Caenorhabditis elegans: one gene and its partners. The protein of the gene in region 1 interacts with the protein of each later gene in a pairwise test. Each region holds a gene or a part of one and is shown in the gene's direction. Other genes may lie near its edges.

What was found. The genes of interacting proteins can lie anywhere in the genome.
Region 2: the proteins of xnd-1 (region 1) and nhr-23 interact in a two-hybrid assay, tested with the Caenorhabditis elegans proteins (one large-scale study listed by BioGRID).
Region 3: the proteins of xnd-1 (region 1) and elf-1 interact in a two-hybrid assay, tested with the Caenorhabditis elegans proteins (one large-scale study listed by BioGRID).

What each region holds. Positions count from the first base shown.
Region 1 is NC_003281.10:5,602,925-5,608,072, forward strand, and holds xnd-1 (X chromosome NonDisjunction factor), read left to right. Parts: upstream 1-1,535; 5' UTR 1,536-1,536; coding exon 1,537-1,909; intron 1,910-1,955; coding exon 1,956-2,145; intron 2,146-2,195; coding exon 2,196-2,287; intron 2,288-2,334; coding exon 2,335-2,536; intron 2,537-2,625; coding exon 2,626-2,872; intron 2,873-3,329; coding exon 3,330-3,668; intron 3,669-3,712; coding exon 3,713-4,294; intron 4,295-4,341; coding exon 4,342-4,425; 3' UTR 4,426-4,632; downstream 4,633-5,148. Other genes in the region: madf-11 (MADF domain-containing protein), read right to left, coding at 1-258, 303-394, 440-506; C05D2.8 (DUF7064 domain-containing protein), read right to left, coding at 4,650-4,914.
Region 2 is NC_003279.8:7,214,807-7,221,743, forward strand, and holds nhr-23 (Nuclear hormone receptor family member nhr-23), read left to right. Parts: upstream 1-1,977; 5' UTR 1,978-2,155; coding exon 2,156-2,223; intron 2,224-3,979; coding exon 3,980-4,371; intron 4,372-4,511; coding exon 4,512-4,603; intron 4,604-4,649; coding exon 4,650-4,723; intron 4,724-4,769; coding exon 4,770-4,890; intron 4,891-4,956; coding exon of another isoform or gene 4,957-4,962; coding exon 4,963-5,054; intron 5,055-5,098; coding exon 5,099-5,654; intron 5,655-5,700; coding exon 5,701-5,982; intron 5,983-6,056; coding exon 6,057-6,146; 3' UTR 6,147-6,422; downstream 6,423-6,937. UniProt on the Caenorhabditis elegans protein: Orphan nuclear receptor. Transcription factor. Modulates expression of target genes, such as Period protein homolog lin-42 and microRNA let-7, by binding to hormone response elements (HRE).
Region 3 is NC_003281.10:704,449-709,348, forward strand, and holds the start of elf-1 (ETS domain-containing protein), read left to right. Parts: upstream 1-1,885; 5' UTR 1,886-1,980; coding exon 1,981-2,145; intron 2,146-2,704; coding exon 2,705-2,821; intron 2,822-3,644; coding exon 3,645-3,744; intron 3,745-4,108; exon of another isoform or gene 4,109-4,258; intron 4,259-4,605; coding exon 4,606-4,788; intron 4,789-4,900.

The sequences.
Region 1 (5,148 bases):
CTTCTTAAAAATCAATGAATCTGTCCATCGCATTGCCTCAATTAGTCCATCGGACATATCAATCGATTTTCTAGCATATTGATCGAGAAGATCCGACCAGACTTCCTGAACAAGAGTGATGTCCTGCCAAACTATATCAGCACGTATCCGATCCCATGCTTCTCGTTTCTGAACCTTCAACTGAGCATCCGGCGTGGCGGCTTGCATCTCCTCATCGTAGAGAATCGGATTTTCTCGAACCATATTGATTAGTTGAAGCTGAAAATTTGAAAATTTTGAATTTTAAACGTTTTCCAGCTTACAAGTGTGTATTGCGTAGTTTTTACGGGTGGATCTTCCCTGGAAAATTGTTGTTGGAGGTCTCCAGCACCACCGTGGGAGCTTGAGGCGACACCTGGAAAAATTATTGGAAATTCTGAATCTATGAATATCGATTTACTTGTCATTGAATGCTTGAGACCGGCGATTTGATAATCCTCTGTTCCGTGCCGCCGTCGGTCGCTCATTGGAAATTTTTAATAATAATTCTGAAATTTATTTTCTTCTCAAATTCTCGCAAGTTTCTCAAGCATTTCTAGCTGCGTTGCGTGGCGATTCCTTCCCGAATTCGAGTTTCATATCAATCTACGATCCATTGAACCCAATAACCCGATTGGCAAGAAGATGATCGTACACACTCATTCACATAGGTGATAGACGTGCTACAGACCGTGGGAGACTCGAACGGGTAGTAGGGCGGAGCCGGGAACCGCGACGCAACCGAAACGCTTCAGAAACCGCAACGGAACAGGCATGCGAAGCGGTCAAGATTCGAAAAAGAAAACGGAGCGAACAGGCAGAAAAACATCGATAGATAGGCGCGCGTGGCCGAGAAGGAGGCGAGACGAGACATCTAGGCCATCGATGGTTTCTCTGCGTCTCTCAAGTGAGTAAATAAATGGTTTTGAGAGGGTAAAATGAAGAAAAAGGATTGATCGAAATTTAAAAACTTAGTCTAGGAAAGGAAAACAAAGCAGGGGAAATCTGAAACAAAACATATAAAAACACACATTTTAACTATTTTTCAGAGTTAAACAAATATAATCTAACAAGAATTCAACTTCAAAGTGAAGATTTCCAGAAACGAAAATGGTTATGTGATTTAAAAATGTGATTTGTTCAAGGAATTACAAGAAAACTCTGGTTTAACATTTGAAGAAAATCCATATTGCGAAAAATGAATTTTAAAAGAATTATTGACGGTTTTGAAATGTGAAATTTTCAATAAATTTCGAAAAATAGATAACTTTTTTTAAATAAAGAAAAACAACGAAAAAATATTTCAGTGGTTACGGTAAACAAGCATAAGAGTGTTTGCGTACTGCGGACCAAAATCTTCGCGAGACCTCGGGTACTGTAGAAAATTTAGGTATTTTTAAAACTTTATTTTTCTATTAATTTCCCTTCTTTCTCATTGGGATTTTCTAGTTTTCTGGTAAATAAAAACAGTTTAAATTTAAATTTAAAAATTTTATCTCCATATTTTTTGTTTCCAGGATGTCTTCTGAACCCATTGTTGCCAATCTAGACAATTCCATGACGACAGAGCCTGCACCCGCAGCTTTTCCACCAATATCCCCAATGTCATTTGCTTTTATGAATGAAGAAGAACGAGCAGCGGTCAAGTTTCCAAAAGTTGATCCAAAACCGCAAACTGCTAAAGATGATGAACCTTCCACATCCCAGAAAACGTTGAGCGTCGATGATCTTCTGATAGTCGACGACGACGACGAAACTGATTCACCACCGGCATCTTCTAGTAATTATGAACCTAAAGCTCATATTGGATGGGCTTCATTCGGAGATTCCTGTCTCCCACCTCCACCAAAGCCAGTTAAAAAAGCTACGGATCCAAATTTGCCACGAAGAAGTTTGTTTGCAAATGGTCCTCTGTTAAATAAAAATATTGTTTTCAGAAGTCTACGTCATTCGTTCTCAGAATACAGACAAGTCGAAGTCCCCGTTAGTTGTTAATAACCAACAAGTAACACTCGAAAAGGCACAAAATTCTCCAAAAAATCCGAATCCTGTTGTATCTAAGCCAATAGTGCTTACAGACTCTGATGAGGATGTGGACGTTGTTGGATTCGACGAAGAGGAGGAAGCGTTAGTTTTTAAAAAGTTTTTTATTAAACAAAACAATCACCCGTCTTCAGAATTAAAATTATGGCCGACCCTACACGCCCACCAGATCTTCCACCACAGCGATCTCTGATATCCAGATTTGAGTCGAATCGAACCAAAAGAGGTATTTTCCATGAAAATTTGATTTTTTAAAGCTCATTTTCTCTTCAGATATCTTCCGAAACAGTTATGATTCTGATGAGGAGGAATTTCTGCGATCTCGGTACCAGCGAGCTGTCACACCGCCGCCAATTCTCGAGCGACAAAGTGGAAGTACTCGGGAGTCTGTAAGCGAACCAAGTGAAGGGAAAATTCTCGAGGAAGACGCAACGCTTGGAAGTGAACATACGGAAAGAGTCGGAAAACGAATTGAGTAAGTTGAATTTCGGGTTTTTGAAAACCTTGACTTCCAAAATAATGACAATTTGTTTAATAAGTCCTGCTAAAAAGCAAATTTTCCAGATTGGAGGAAATCAATCCATCACAGCTTCTACGAACCAAAATTTCGGCGAGCGCAATTCCAATCCTTCCACTCTCCAAATCGATAATGGAACGTAAAAAAGTAGCTCTGGAGATGACGAAAAACGCCGTGATCAGACAAGCGAATAACTTCCGTCCAAAAGCCAAAAACAGTACCGTGGCTCCAAAAAGTGTCCAAATTCCTGCATATAATCATAAAACTCCTATGACGTTCTACTCGAATATGGCGGTAAATTATATATTTTTGGAAAACCCTAAAGTGGAACTTCAATATTTCGAATTTTCCTGCATTATCATTAACAAAAAAACTTTTCAGCAATTACTAGTGTTTTTCATCCAATAATTATATTATTTCATTCCCTGTTTTCATCATAAGCAAAAAATATTTTCATCTAATGGTTGCACAAAATGGTAAATTTTTTGAAGAACTACAGTAACCCAACTCCAGTTTCTCTCAATAAATTAAAAAAATCTTGGCGAAAAATAAGAAAGTTCAGCGACATTGAAAAGAAGAGGAGAAGGGTTACTGTAGTTCTAAAAGGCGCTTACATTTTTGCGCCGGGATGATTGGAGATAATTGTTCGTGGTGCGACCGTAGTTCTTCCTAAAATTTTGCCACTGGCTAGTACTTTACAAAATCAAATTATTTGTGGCGAGACCTACAACGAACAATTTTCAAAATTCAGGCCCCCGCCTTCGTCAAAGGAGTCAATGGAAGATGTTATCGTTGCGCCGAAATTCAAAAGCCTGTGGATATGAGCTCCTTCCGATTCGTCGACGATTCTACCGTTATTGCCATCCGTGCTCATCTTTGCGATCAGACACGCGTCATGGTAGCTAGAACAGCAATTTGGAATCGAGAATACGCGAAACGACTCGGCGATCGAGCTGCTGGAACTGTTTGGCAGAAACCGGACGAGGTGTCGGCTCAGATGACCGGATTTTGCAGTGCGACGGTTCGTAGATGTATTGAGATTGCCAATATGTCTATCATTCCAAAGTGTGCTGATCGTGTTGGTGTTTCGGTAAGTTTCAAAGAACAAAGAAGATTTAATCTAACTTTTTTCAGAGAAACGAACTGACCTCCCTGAAGTCTTCTTTCGGATCCGAGAAGTTTTGTGGGCAGACCATGCGAGCTCCACATGTACTCACTCAGTTCTACTCAGTTAATCAGGCATCGATGGCTCGTAATAGGGAAGGTTCTGATGGTCCTTCTTCCTCAGCAGCAAGACCGGTTGGAAGACCACCCACTACGCAACCAGTAGAAACTGCAGTGGAGAAAAAGAAGAATGATGAAGATGAGAAAAGACATCATCCACTCACAAACTTCACAACAGCATCCACGTCTTCCCAAAATCTGCAAGATCAACCACCACCCAAGAATACCGTTCTCCGCTGGTCAAATATCACAACTCCGAGGATTCTTCGTCCACCAACTCTCAAAACTCCCTACTCGCTTCCCAGGACTGCAGTGATTCCGGTGATGAAGAAGAAGCAGCCCGAAATAGAGCAAGTTCAGCCGAAGAAGGACACGACGGCAAGCCTTGTTCGCAAAAGAGGCCGCCCGAGAAAGGAGAAGCCTCTGGAGGTGCAGTCTCCTCGCAAGGGACTATATCTTCGCTTCAAATCGTGCACAAAGTATATTGTTCGGGTAAGAGAACTGAACAATTTGAAAACTTGAAATATTTGGTTTTACAGACTCCAATTGACAAAAGTGTCCAAGAAACGGTGAACTATCTACTGGATGAGGTTGACAAAAGGGCTTCAACTTCTGCTACGTAGCTGCTACAATCTCTGTTCTTTTGTTTTTGTTTTCTCGTTCTAAATGTTTTGTTGTCTCATGTTTTTAGTTCTTCGGAACTTGTTATCCCCTCCCAGTGTTTTATTATTTTTTGTACATTTTACTGTTGCTCTGTTCTGCACGTTGACCCCACATTTGTTAGTAGCATATGAAACGGTTTTATAAAGTAAGTGGAAAAGGTAGAAAATCTGAATTTGATAATTTTTTAATACGGCTGAATACGATACTCGACTTCCGCGAATCCCCATCCCGGCTTTCCGTCGACAACGAATTCGCTCATTCCTTCGGTGACCTGACATGCTTGATCCAATCCCATTTTGAATGAGACGGCTTCCTTGATATGAACATCTGCGTGATGAATCTTGCCGTCAACTTCGAACGAGTAGTGGAAATCATCAGGGAAATGACGATCCTCTCCGTGGTTTGGAAGGGAGAAGTGTACACGATCCACTGGCTTCGTCTCACCAGTTCTGAAAAAAAAAATTTAGGTTCTGCCCATTAAGGAAATTACTAGAATCTTTTGCGAGAATACGGTACTCGGTCTCGAAACGACTTAAAGGACACTTATAATGATCCAAAACGACGAAAAATCATAATAAAACACTCCAAAAATGTTTATATTTTTCGTAAGCTTTCGCAAATTGCCAAAATATTGAAAAATAGGAGCTATTGAGAAAATCTAAAGCAATGTTGCATACCCCTAC
Region 2 (6,937 bases), on another chromosome or scaffold:
GACGATGCGATCTGGGAGGGCGCCGCCGTGATCGAGAGAACGGAGAGATAGAGGGGATGGGTGGGGACGAGAGTGTTGTGATGCGCAGACACACCGGATCGACGCATCCCTACCGGCGACGGCTACTGACCGGCCGGGTCACTTGCGTTCGGACGACGACATGCGAGGTAGGTCATCTCACGTCTTCTTCATCTTCTTCTTCTCTCGAAGATGTTGGTGGAAGGAGAGAGAAAGAGATGCAAAAAAACGGGGAAGGGCATGGCCCGGCGACCGGACCCGCTAACCCGGTCACCCCGTTTTCGGCCATGGCTAACCCAAAAAAGATTCATTTTTGCCGATAGGACAACAATTAATTCAGTAGTTCGTTTCAAGATCCATGATCCAGGTTCTAGGTTCCAGATTCCAATTGAAAGGTTTCAAAATGTGTTTGTGTTGTCTAACCAATGTTTACCATCTATGTTATGCACGTTCCACTGTTATCAAGTCTATCAAATTGATCAAAAATGCCTATATTTCACGGTCACTCTGCCATTGCCCCATAGTTGGACGAGATAGAGACCACCACCTTCCTCTACCGTAATACTCTTCAAAATGCCCTTTTGAAAAGATGAATTGTGAAGGAGGGAACAGCCCAAAATTGAAGAAAGAATCGACATTTCAACACTTTGAAATGATGTCGTAGTTCGTTTTTGGCTTCTTTGTGTGGATTTTGATTATGTTTCAGTTTTACAGTATCTTATACGCTTATAATTGTTTTTTTTTGGACTTTAAATTATTTTTACCATCACCGTATTTTTCTTTTCTTTAGCGCAACTTAAACTTATTTGCTTTTCCTTTCTGGTATTATACTGAGTTATTTATTATGTGATTCCTATTTATACTGTAGTTTTATTTATAAACAATTCCCGGTTCCTCCTTTGACACTTGAAACTTCTAGTTTAAAAAGTCTCACAGTACTGAAATCCATTACTCTACTTTGTCAATTTATATCTGGACTAATTTTACAAATATCAAAACACAGTCAACTACGAAGCAATTTGTGAATTGATAACTTTTCGATGAAACAAAATGAGATATAAGCTAAAAAGGATATGAACAATGTGGCTCAATTATAGTACGGTATCTATTTTGCACCCAGTACCAAATAAATAGTCGTACCCAGTAAATGGAGCACAAAAACCATGCTTCAGATTTTCGTGCGCCCTTTTTCATTTATGAGAAGATTCGTTTTCCCATTTTCTGTCGGATTAATACTGATTTGAAAATTTCAATTTTATTACTGTGTCTATTTTGCAAAAGTTACACTTTTCAGTTATGGTATATTTTGATATTTGAATTGTACTATTATTTTGTTATAACTCAACATCTTGAAACTGTGCAGGATATTAAAAATACTTATCGAATGGTTTTTTTCTTATTTGTGGTCGTGTTCTGTTCTTTTCCGAAACCACATTCCCTCTTTTGTAGATTAAGATCAGTATCTCAAAAAGATCTCTGATTTTCTCTCCCTCTTTCTCGCTTTACTTCTAGATATTTACTTTCACTATTTATTTTATACATCTAAATTTATTATGTAAGGAGCACTAAAAATAATTTTCTCCCCCTTACTAAATTTTTCCTTATTGGTCATAACTTCAACTCAATACGGACAGTCTTTATGGCCCGCACGAGTCAGTACCAGTGCGGCAGTTATAATAAGTATTAATGGTATCTCATCTCCTCATCGAGTTATTATTCCCAATTAAGTTCGTCTCACATCTTGACCTTGAATTCAGTTTTCTTTATTCCCCTTTTTAAGTTTACACTTACTATTAAATTGCAAAAATCTTAAAGCACAGCTTTTTGGTTTTTTTTACTTGAAATTACATTCTAATTATCTCACACAATGTACTTTATCAGTGACTAATGAGAGTGGGGGTAAGGGACACCTTTTCCCGTCCAGCCGCGTGTCACCGAAAACCGGTATTCTCTACCATTAGGTGGTCACTGTCGGTACCAGGTGCATGTTCTCGCTTCGATGGTCTTCAATGCAACATTTCAATGGTCATTTCGAGAGTTTAGCCAAACAACATCAAAACCATTTTCACTCATTTCGAAAATCTTGAAAAAAGGTTTTTAAGAAGATCAGGGGTCAAGGCACATCAGAGCGCATGGCATGGCCTGTAAGGTCACTGGCCCAAATCGGCACCTCACTTCAGTTCTCGAAATGTCATCGTTCGTGTAGTGAGTTGTTTTTCTGTTTACGTGGCACCTCGGCGGGTGTCCTGAAATCTTTTGATCTAACTCTAGACATTTGAAGCAATCCGTAATGTTCTAGCATACTGTAGGGATGTTTCAATTCAAAATGGAAGTTTCGAAGACTATCTAAGATGGCTGAAAGTTTCTGAAATTTTGCACATATTTTTAACCAGATTTCGGGTGTTCTTCACCGTTTTTGCCATCAAATTCACTTTTCCCAGTTTTCCGCGGCGGTACCATCACGTACTTGCTGTGTATACGTCTCCGTCTCTCTTTTGTCGTTTCGCATGATCAGCGGAAAGTACAATTTACGAAATTGCAACCTCCCGTCGTCGTCGTCGCTGCCGCTGCCGCCACCACCATCATCGCAAACCACGTCGTCTATATCCTGCCTCACACAGCGCGACGACGTCGACGACGCGGGGTCCTGTCACCTCCTGGCGGGAGGCATACCGTACCGTTCGCGCGCAACACACCGTGCACAGGTACCGAGGTCACTTCTCGAGATGAAGAAATAGCGCGGAGACGTACACACAATTGTCTTCTTCATCTTCTTATTCCTACGTCTTCTTCATTTCCTACCTTGTTTCTCAGTATTCCCATATCCTCCATCGTCACCGTCTCTTCATTCTTTCAAAACACTGTAATTGTTATGAGAGGAGCGGTGAGATGGGGATAAAGTTGAGAATAGGCAGGAAATGAAGGATGAGCGGTATGATGAGGAAATATGAAATATGTTGCGAATATATAAGACCTGATAATTGTGGTCCTAGGAAACGAGGTTGAAAATCGAGCCGATATAATAAAAGAGTTGGGGACGACGAGATTTTTATCTGAATCAGAAATGAGTGATGCTATTCGAAGTGAGATTGATATAGATTTTATATTCTTGCCGTATACATTTTCTGATTAAAATTTATGCACAAAAACATAAAGAACTCCCGAAGCATATTTCTCTTGGCGGGTTTTCGTCAAATTTTTCATTTAAAAATACCAAAAAGCTGAGCCATTTTTTTTGCGTTTTAGGCGAGACATTAAAATTTCCAGTTTCACCAAATTTCTTTTGAAGAATTCCATTTGCAAAACAATGCAAAAACAAAATTTTTTTGTTTTTTTTCAAATATTTGAACTTCTGCGTTTTTAATATTTATAAATATTAAAAACGCAGAAGGTACGGTGTGCTAAGAGTGTTTGCGGACTTTAGTTCATTTTATGTCGCCTACCGTAGTCCGCCTCGCTGATATTCGTTTTTTTTTAAATTCATTTTTGACATAAATATTTTGTTTTCAACCATTTTTCTCAAATTTAAATTTAGAATTCGAAAAAAATCTTACTATTCTAATCTAAAATATGCAATGATTCAATTTTTAAGGCTAATTCCCCCCCCAAAAGCAAATAACAATGAAAAAAAATGTTCAGCAGGAATTTAAATATTTATTTTGCGTGAATTTTTTTCCTAACTATAAGCTAGTTATTATGTTTAGATTATATCTTATTGATAAAACCTAAATAATAATAATAAGTCACGTTAAGATCCACGGCTGGTTTTTGTTTCGAAATTTCAATTAATTTCAATTTATATCCTCCAGTAACTAATAGGTGAGTTTCTTAAGCTCTGCGATTGCATGGCATTTCGTAAAAAAAAAACGTTTCGCAAACTGTTTCTAGACGTTCAATCTTTCCGCGTATCCTATCATTACTCGCTTAAATTGTAGTCCGCCTTTCTTGATTTTATCTTCAGCTGGCCTCGATCGCGACAACAAGCTCACAATTTTCCGATGCAAGCTGTAGAGCAGAAGTTGGCTGATGCAACACGAACTCTTCATGCAAAGTCATCTCTTCAACCATCACTCTCAATTGAAACTCCAAAAAGCAAGGAAAATGATGAATCTGGATGCGAGAGTTCAAATTGCATGTTTCATCCGCATACGATCAAATCGGAACCAAATTTTTGTTTTGCTCGGGAGTTTAAGTCAGTTCCCGATGATTTTCGTATAGGCGGCGGAGATCTTCAAATGGGAAACAATTCCAAAAGATTGACATGTGTTATTGATACAAATCGAGTCGATATGGCCGGAATTCTTCCTGATAATATGAGCTTCCGGGGACTTCCCGAAAACAAATCTCTTCTGGGTATGCACGTATTTTTTGTTCATTGTCCTACTAACCTTTAAAACCCTTGAAATTTGGAATTTGGAACCGAACTCTGAAAAAAAACACTCCAAAATTGTGATAAACTGAACTTTTTAAAGATTCTAAATTTACTTTTTCAGTATCAGCGCAGATAGAAGTAATACCATGTAAAGTGTGCGGTGACAAGTCGTCTGGCGTTCACTATGGAGTTATCACATGTGAAGGCTGCAAGGTATGCCTTTTTACCAGAATTACTTTATTTCTTATACATTTTTCAGGGCTTTTTCCGACGCAGTCAATCATCCATCGTCAATTATCAGTGTCCGAGACAGAAGAATTGTGTTGTTGATAGGTATCTCAGTTAGGAATGTTACAGAAATTTAATATCGTATTTTCAGAGTGAATCGAAATCGATGCCAATACTGCCGTCTCAAAAAGTGTATTGAGTTAGGAATGTCACGGGATGCAGTTAAATTTGGACGAATGTCAAAAAAGCAACGAGAAAAAGTAGAAGATGAGGTATTTACATTCCCAATTCTAAACTTCGTATTCATGTCATCGTTTTTGTCTGTTCAATCCTTAAAGGTTCAGGTTCGAATGCATAAAGAATTAGCTGCAAATGGTCTTGGATACCAAGCAATTTACGGCGACTATTCCCCTCCACCATCCCATCCCAGTTATTGGTAATTATCACCTACATTTTTCTGTCATGCAACGTCATTTTCAGCTTTGATCAAAGTATGTACGGTCATTATCCATCTGGAACTTCAACACCTGTTAACGGATATTCTATAGCTGTTGCTGCGACTCCTACGACTCCAATGCCACAGAACATGTACGGAGCAACACCATCATCTACAAATGGCACACAATATGTTGCACATCAAGCCACTGGAGGAAGCTTCCCATCGCCACAAGTTCCAGAAGAAGACGTTGCCACTCGCGTTATCAGAGCTTTCAATCAGCAGCACAGTTCCTATACAACACAACATGGAGTTTGTAACGTGGATCCTGATTGTATTCCTCATTTGAGTCGAGCTGGTGGTTGGGAGCTCTTCGCTAGGGAGCTCAATCCGCTTATTCAAGCAATTATTGAGTTTGCCAAAAGTATTGATGGATTTATGAATCTTCCGCAAGAAACACAGATTCAATTGCTGAAGGGAAGCGTTTTTGAGTTATCACTCGTTTTTGCTGCTATGTATTACAATGTAGACGCGCAGGCAGTGTGCGGTGAAAGGTATTCTGTTCCATTTGCATGCTTGATTGCCGAAGATGATGCCGAGGTATTTATTTTCATAGAGTAATATCGGCTCATACTCAATGTTTCAGATGCAATTGATCGTTGAAGTTAATAACACTCTTCAAGAAATTGTTCATTTACAACCGCATCAATCCGAATTAGCTCTTCTTGCCGCTGGACTTATTCTGGAGCAAGTGTCTTCTTCTCATGGAATTGGGATTCTTGACACTGCGACGATTGCCACTGCAGAAACACTGAAGAACGCGTTGTACCAAAGTGTCATGCCAAGAATTGGATGCATGGAAGACACGATTCACCGAATTCAAGATGTTGAGACAAGAATCAGACAAACAGCTCGTTTGCATCAAGAGGTATTATTTGCTGAAGCTTGGATATAAATAATCTGGAATGCTTAATTTTGAGGTTATTATTTTTCTATTTACAGGCTCTTCAAAACTTCCGAATGTCTGATCCAACATCATCTGAAAAGCTTCCTGCCCTCTACAAAGAGCTATTCACTGCAGATCGGCCTTGACTGAATCCATATATCATCAATAGTTTTATCCATGCTCTCCTTCCCTATCCCCGTCCATGAATCTCGTTTCCTCCGGTTATTTGTACAATAAGAGTAGACCAAAGCGCCGTTTGAACCCAACGACACCATTTTCTTTCCTTCTGTGATTTCCTTTCCCGACATTCCCCCCAAAACCCCAGTCGTTTCCATGTTTTATCAGAAAATTAATAGAAAAATAATTGTAGTCGTCTGTTGCAGGAGAGTTCCTCATTCTTTCTCTCCTTTTCCTGTTTTTAAAGTGATTTACTCGGATCTTCTTTACTTACTTGTTCTAATTTATTAATGACTTTTGTCACCCCCCCCCCCCCCCTCGTGTACCATGTACAATCATGTTGCGTTCCATGTTTTCTTGCATTTCATGTTCAGTAAAATTTCTGAAACCATACCAATCTCTCTCTTGTCTTATCATTTCTCTTCAGGTATTGATGCCTCTCCCCATCCCATCCCATACTCTTTTCGTGATCAACACGGGTACAAAACCACAAATTTCCATTTATCTGGATTTCTAGGCGCACTAATTTTTATTTTATTAAATATCTCCCCATTTATTGCCTTTTAAAACTCGTATCATTCCAGTGTCTGCGCTTTAATTACGCCTTCTTACCCATTTGATCCAACCATTTTCTCGTTTATGGTGTAGTGGTCGCTTGAGTGTTTCCATTGTTTCATGTAACATCCTAAATATGTTTCATTGTCATCAATGCATTCAGCTCCATACACCGACTTTTTAATTTATTTCACTTTCCTCTCGG
Region 3 (4,900 bases), 4.9 Mb from region 1:
TTTTTTGAAAAAAAAAGTTTCCACGAAAATAAATTTTCATAGGGGGGACCCTTATGATTTTCAAAGCGGATCATAAGGGGGGACCCTTATGAATTTCAAAAATCCAAAAAAAATTTTTTTTTGAAAACTTGCTTTTAAATCATCAGATACAGTAGTAAATGATATTTACTCTATTTGTGTCAATTTAAACGTTAGGTAGAAAGTTTTTAGCTGAGAAAACGACTATTCCTTGTAGGGTTCAAGCATTTTGCTTACACTGCGAATCACCTGTGTTATGTGAACCATACCAGAAAGAAACAGTGGGTCCCGGTCGAGGAACACGCTAAACCTGATCTCAAAGGGGAACTTCACAAGAAAAAAGTGCTTCTCTCAATTTGGTGGGACAGTACGGGTGTCATTTTCCGAGAGCTTCTTCCAGACGGCGTCACCATCAACGCTGACCTGTACTGCACTCAATTGGAAAAGGTAGTCCATGCTCATCAATTACATCGCCCTAGAGGATCAAAATTGTTGCTGCTACATGACAACGCAAGACCTCATACAGCTGTGAAGACCCGCCAGAAGCTCCAATTCTCAGGAGTTCTATGCGGAGGAAATTGCTCAACTTCCGTTGCGTTGGCAAGAAGTTTATTAAAATGTTGCCCCCTAATTTGTTGCCCCGGGGAGAGTTCAAATGTTGACCCCTATTATGTTGCCCCCTTTTTTGCTGCCCCCTACATTTATGAAAATGTTGCCCCCTAATTTGTTGCCCCCCAGGGAGAGTTCAAATGTTGTCCCCTTTTTTGTTGCCCCCAGGGAGAGTTGGCCAAAAAATATATGCCTTAAATTTGAAATTCCCCCTTTCGCGATATATGCATTACGCATACATAATGTACACATCGCGAAAATGATCGCATTTTGTTCGCGATGTATACACTGTGTGCGTTTGCGCTTCGCTGATGTATGATTTATGCCTCAAAAGACACAATGTATACCCCGCGATTTAACTGTGTTTGAACACTGAAATTACGTCGCTGGTTCGAACCCCCGTCCGAGCGATGACGAATGAAACAATCTGTAGCCTATGTTTCTGAATTCCCATGTTCTTGAAATCTAGTCTGAGCTCCTCCTTTCTGACATTTTCTCGCGAAACCGGAAAACGACAACGTAAACCACCACAAAGCGAAAAAAAATTATGATGGTTGGTCCCCAAAAAACAATGTGTCTCGTCGTAGGGGGTTGTAAATACCTATTCAAAAAAAGTTCTCACAGGGATGGATAGTCATAACAGTACAGCAGTACGTATCGTACGTGTAGATTTCTTCTTAATAGAGCTGATATTCGATATATGGGGCATTGGGTTGTAAACGTGCGTCTCTTTGTATGAGGGGTGGCGATGTGTTGGCATCTAAATGAAAGTACTTAACTTTATTGAAACTTTGCGGCATTTTTTTGGATTTTCTCGAAATCTCATATTTTTCAAAATTTTGGCAATTTGCCAAAACTTTGACCAGAAATTATGAAAAATCTAAAAATTTTTGAAATGTTTTATTCTGATATTTGGTTGTTTTGGATGAGTATAAGTGTATTTAGGCAAAACCCCCCACTGGCGCTACCTCTGAGACCAAACAGATTTGACTGTTCCTTCCAAACTTTTGGCGCTGTGGCATCCTTTCAAAATTCCTAATCTCCCTCCCCCTTATTACGCCTTACCCCCCTCTTCCATCCCTTCACTTTTCAGTGGACAGGAAAACGGAAAACGGCTAGTACAAAGTAAATAATAGGGCCCCCCTCCATACAGTTTCGAGTGCGCGCGGAAAGGTCGCCGCGCCCCGCCCCACGCGGAACATAAGTAGGCGGGGTTTGTTGAGGGCGCGCGGACAGTGAAACACGAACACTTTCGCCCTTTCCGTGTGGATCCATAGTAGAATACACATTATTATTATTTATTTATTTATCTATTTATCTGAAATTTAGTTTTTTATTTTAATTTTCATTCCAATGATCCAAATACAAGGACAACCACGGCCTGAACCACTATTACTTGTATTACCAACTGCCACGTCACCACTTAATATTTCATCAAGTAATATCAGTAGCAAAAGTTCTCGAATCAACAATAATAATGATAATGAAAATGATGAGGAGGATGATGGGAGAGATTTGGTAAGGGGGGTTTTTTGCTGGTTTTTATGCTTTAATAGTTATAAACCAATACTACATTAGTGCTAAAGTTTCTAATTTTTATATTAAACTTTTTATAAAGTTTTGAATAATTTAATTATGTTTGTATCAAAAAACCTAAAATGTTTTGAATTTTGGCAATTTACCAAAACTTTAAAAAATTTACGATTCCGGCAAATTGCCGATTTGCCGGTTTGCCGGAAATTTTCAATTCCAGCAGTTTGTCGATTTGCCGATTTGCCGGAAATTTTCGATTCCGGCAATGTGCCGATTTGCCCCACCTTTGGTTTAAATGCTAGTTTTAAATCTGAGGTTCCACCCTTTCTTGCCTATTTTCTGGAACGTTGGAAATTAGGAAAATTATATTTCTTCAGTCATAAAATTTTGAAATTTTTGGAGAAAACTTTTAGTTTTAATTTGCAATTTTAGATTGAGTCAAAGATTTTCTCGATTAAACAGAATATTTTTGGAGTATTTTCAAAAGCTCTGGTTTTTCTCCATTAATTATTTTTCAAATCCAATTTCAACCGAAAATTTGAAGGATGTCGAAATGAAAACGGAATCCGAATGGCCTCGTATTGAACGACCAACACCAAAATATGCTGATGGTCGACGGATTTCTGCACCCGCTGTCCTGGCACACGGCCTGTTTGAAATTGTAAGTTTGTAATTTGAAAACTTAGTTTCAAGAACTGTAAAGCTCTGAAATATTTCAAAAAAATCATAAAATTTGAAGAAAAAAAAATCAGAACTATGTTTTTGAAAATTTGAAAAAAAAATCCCATCACCGCTTGACCTGCAAAATTACGGAAAATGAATTATCAAATAATGTGCCCACATAAATTTTACAAATGAAAAGCACGAGTGACGTCATAGAAGTCGAATTTTTAATGTTAAGTGTTTCAGAGTTTTTTGAGAAAGTTCTGGAAACTTCCAGAAGTTTCTGAACATTTTTTGGAAATCGAGATAAGTTCTGGAAAATTTTAGAACGTTACTGAAAGTTTTGGAAATTTCTGGAAATTCGAAAAATAAATTTTAAAAAGTTATGTGAAGTTTGACATGTCAAGATGGTTTTAGTAGGTTTATGCAATTTATGAAACATTGTGATTTTTTCAAATAAAAAAAAACAATTTTTAGGTAAAAACAACCTCTCATAGTTAACCCACTTTCATAGATTTAAATAAAATTATGATTTCAGAAACTTCACACTCACAAATCCTAAAAAACTTTTAAAACTGTAGTTTAATGTTTCTAAAACGTCAACTCGACCTTCGGACTTCTCATATGATTCTTATCAGTAAAAGTGCGGAAAAAGCACAAAAAATAGGGAAAAAGAGGGTGGAATTCCGATTTTAGACTTCCTGGGTTTTTTGTTTGATTTAAACTTTAATTTCTTCGTGAACTATTCTGGAAACTTCCATTAACTACTACCAAAAATGATATCCACAGTACTACATATTCCAATTTCTACACAACTTCAGCCAACTTCATGTTCCGTCCAGATTACTGTACTTCAACAATTGTTGGATCAGAGTTCCACGCTGAGTTTGGAGCCGACGAACAGTCCCGATTCTGGTGTTGGTGAGTTTTTTTTTGAATTTTTTTGTAGAGAATTTGAAGTTTTGCGCTGAGTTCAAGTGTTCAATATCAAACTTTGCACACTTTTTTTGAAATTTCAAAAGTCTAAACTTGTGGCAGACTTAAATTTTTTAATATTTAACTAAATGAAAATGAACGCCAAAATTTGTGTTACTGGAATATCAATCCTCGTGAATATTTTATAGTTTTAGAGTTGCAAATCAGGGGTAGAATTCGGCAAATCTTTTTTCCCGATTTGCAGGACATTTTTAATTCCGGCAATGTGCCGGTTCGCCGATTTGCCGGAAATTTTCAATTCTGGCAATTTGTACAATTTTGCCGATTGAAATTGAAATTCTGAAATTTCCAAAAAAAACAGTGCAGAACCCTAATTTGTCTAAAATTTTCCGCATTTGCCGTTTTTCCGGCATATTCGGCAAATCGGCAAAAATTGGAAATTTCAACTCCGTCAATTTGCCCATTTGCCGGAATAAATCATTGCCGCACTCCCCTGTTGCAAATAACGCAAATTTTTAGAAATTCTGTTTCAAGTTTAGTTTCAAACCTTTTTTTGATTTTTAGTAAAAATTTCGACTTGATTTTAGGATTTTTTTGTTAAAATCCACGCCGCCTTTAATGTTTTAATTTTTAGCAACTCTTACGCTAGGATTTTCTGTAATTATTGCTTTTCAAAAATTCACACAGAAATGCAACGATAGTAGCCAAAAGTCCAAAGGTCTCCACGCACTTTGTCATTTTCCAACTGATTATCACACTTATCAGCGCCACAAATTTCCGTTTTCCGCAACAAGCTTCCCCGCTTCCTCAATTTTTCATCAAAAATCAAACAAAAAAAATTTGCAGGCACCGACTCGACACCCGAAACGTCTCCGTCAAGTTCAACGACACGCCGTCACGCATTTGCTCCGCCACCACCTCGACCACGACCTCCTACAGTACCCCTGCCTACCGTAACCCAACAGATTCCGTGGCAGACGTCGACGATTTGGCCTTGGATTCAGCAGGCGCAGAGTGCGAGCACGGCAGGTAAATTTGAATTTTTAAAGAGTCTGGAAATTTCAAAAAATGTGCAACCGACAAACTTTCGATTAAAATTTCAAATTTCGCGCAGAAATTCTGTTCCCAATATAATTAGTGT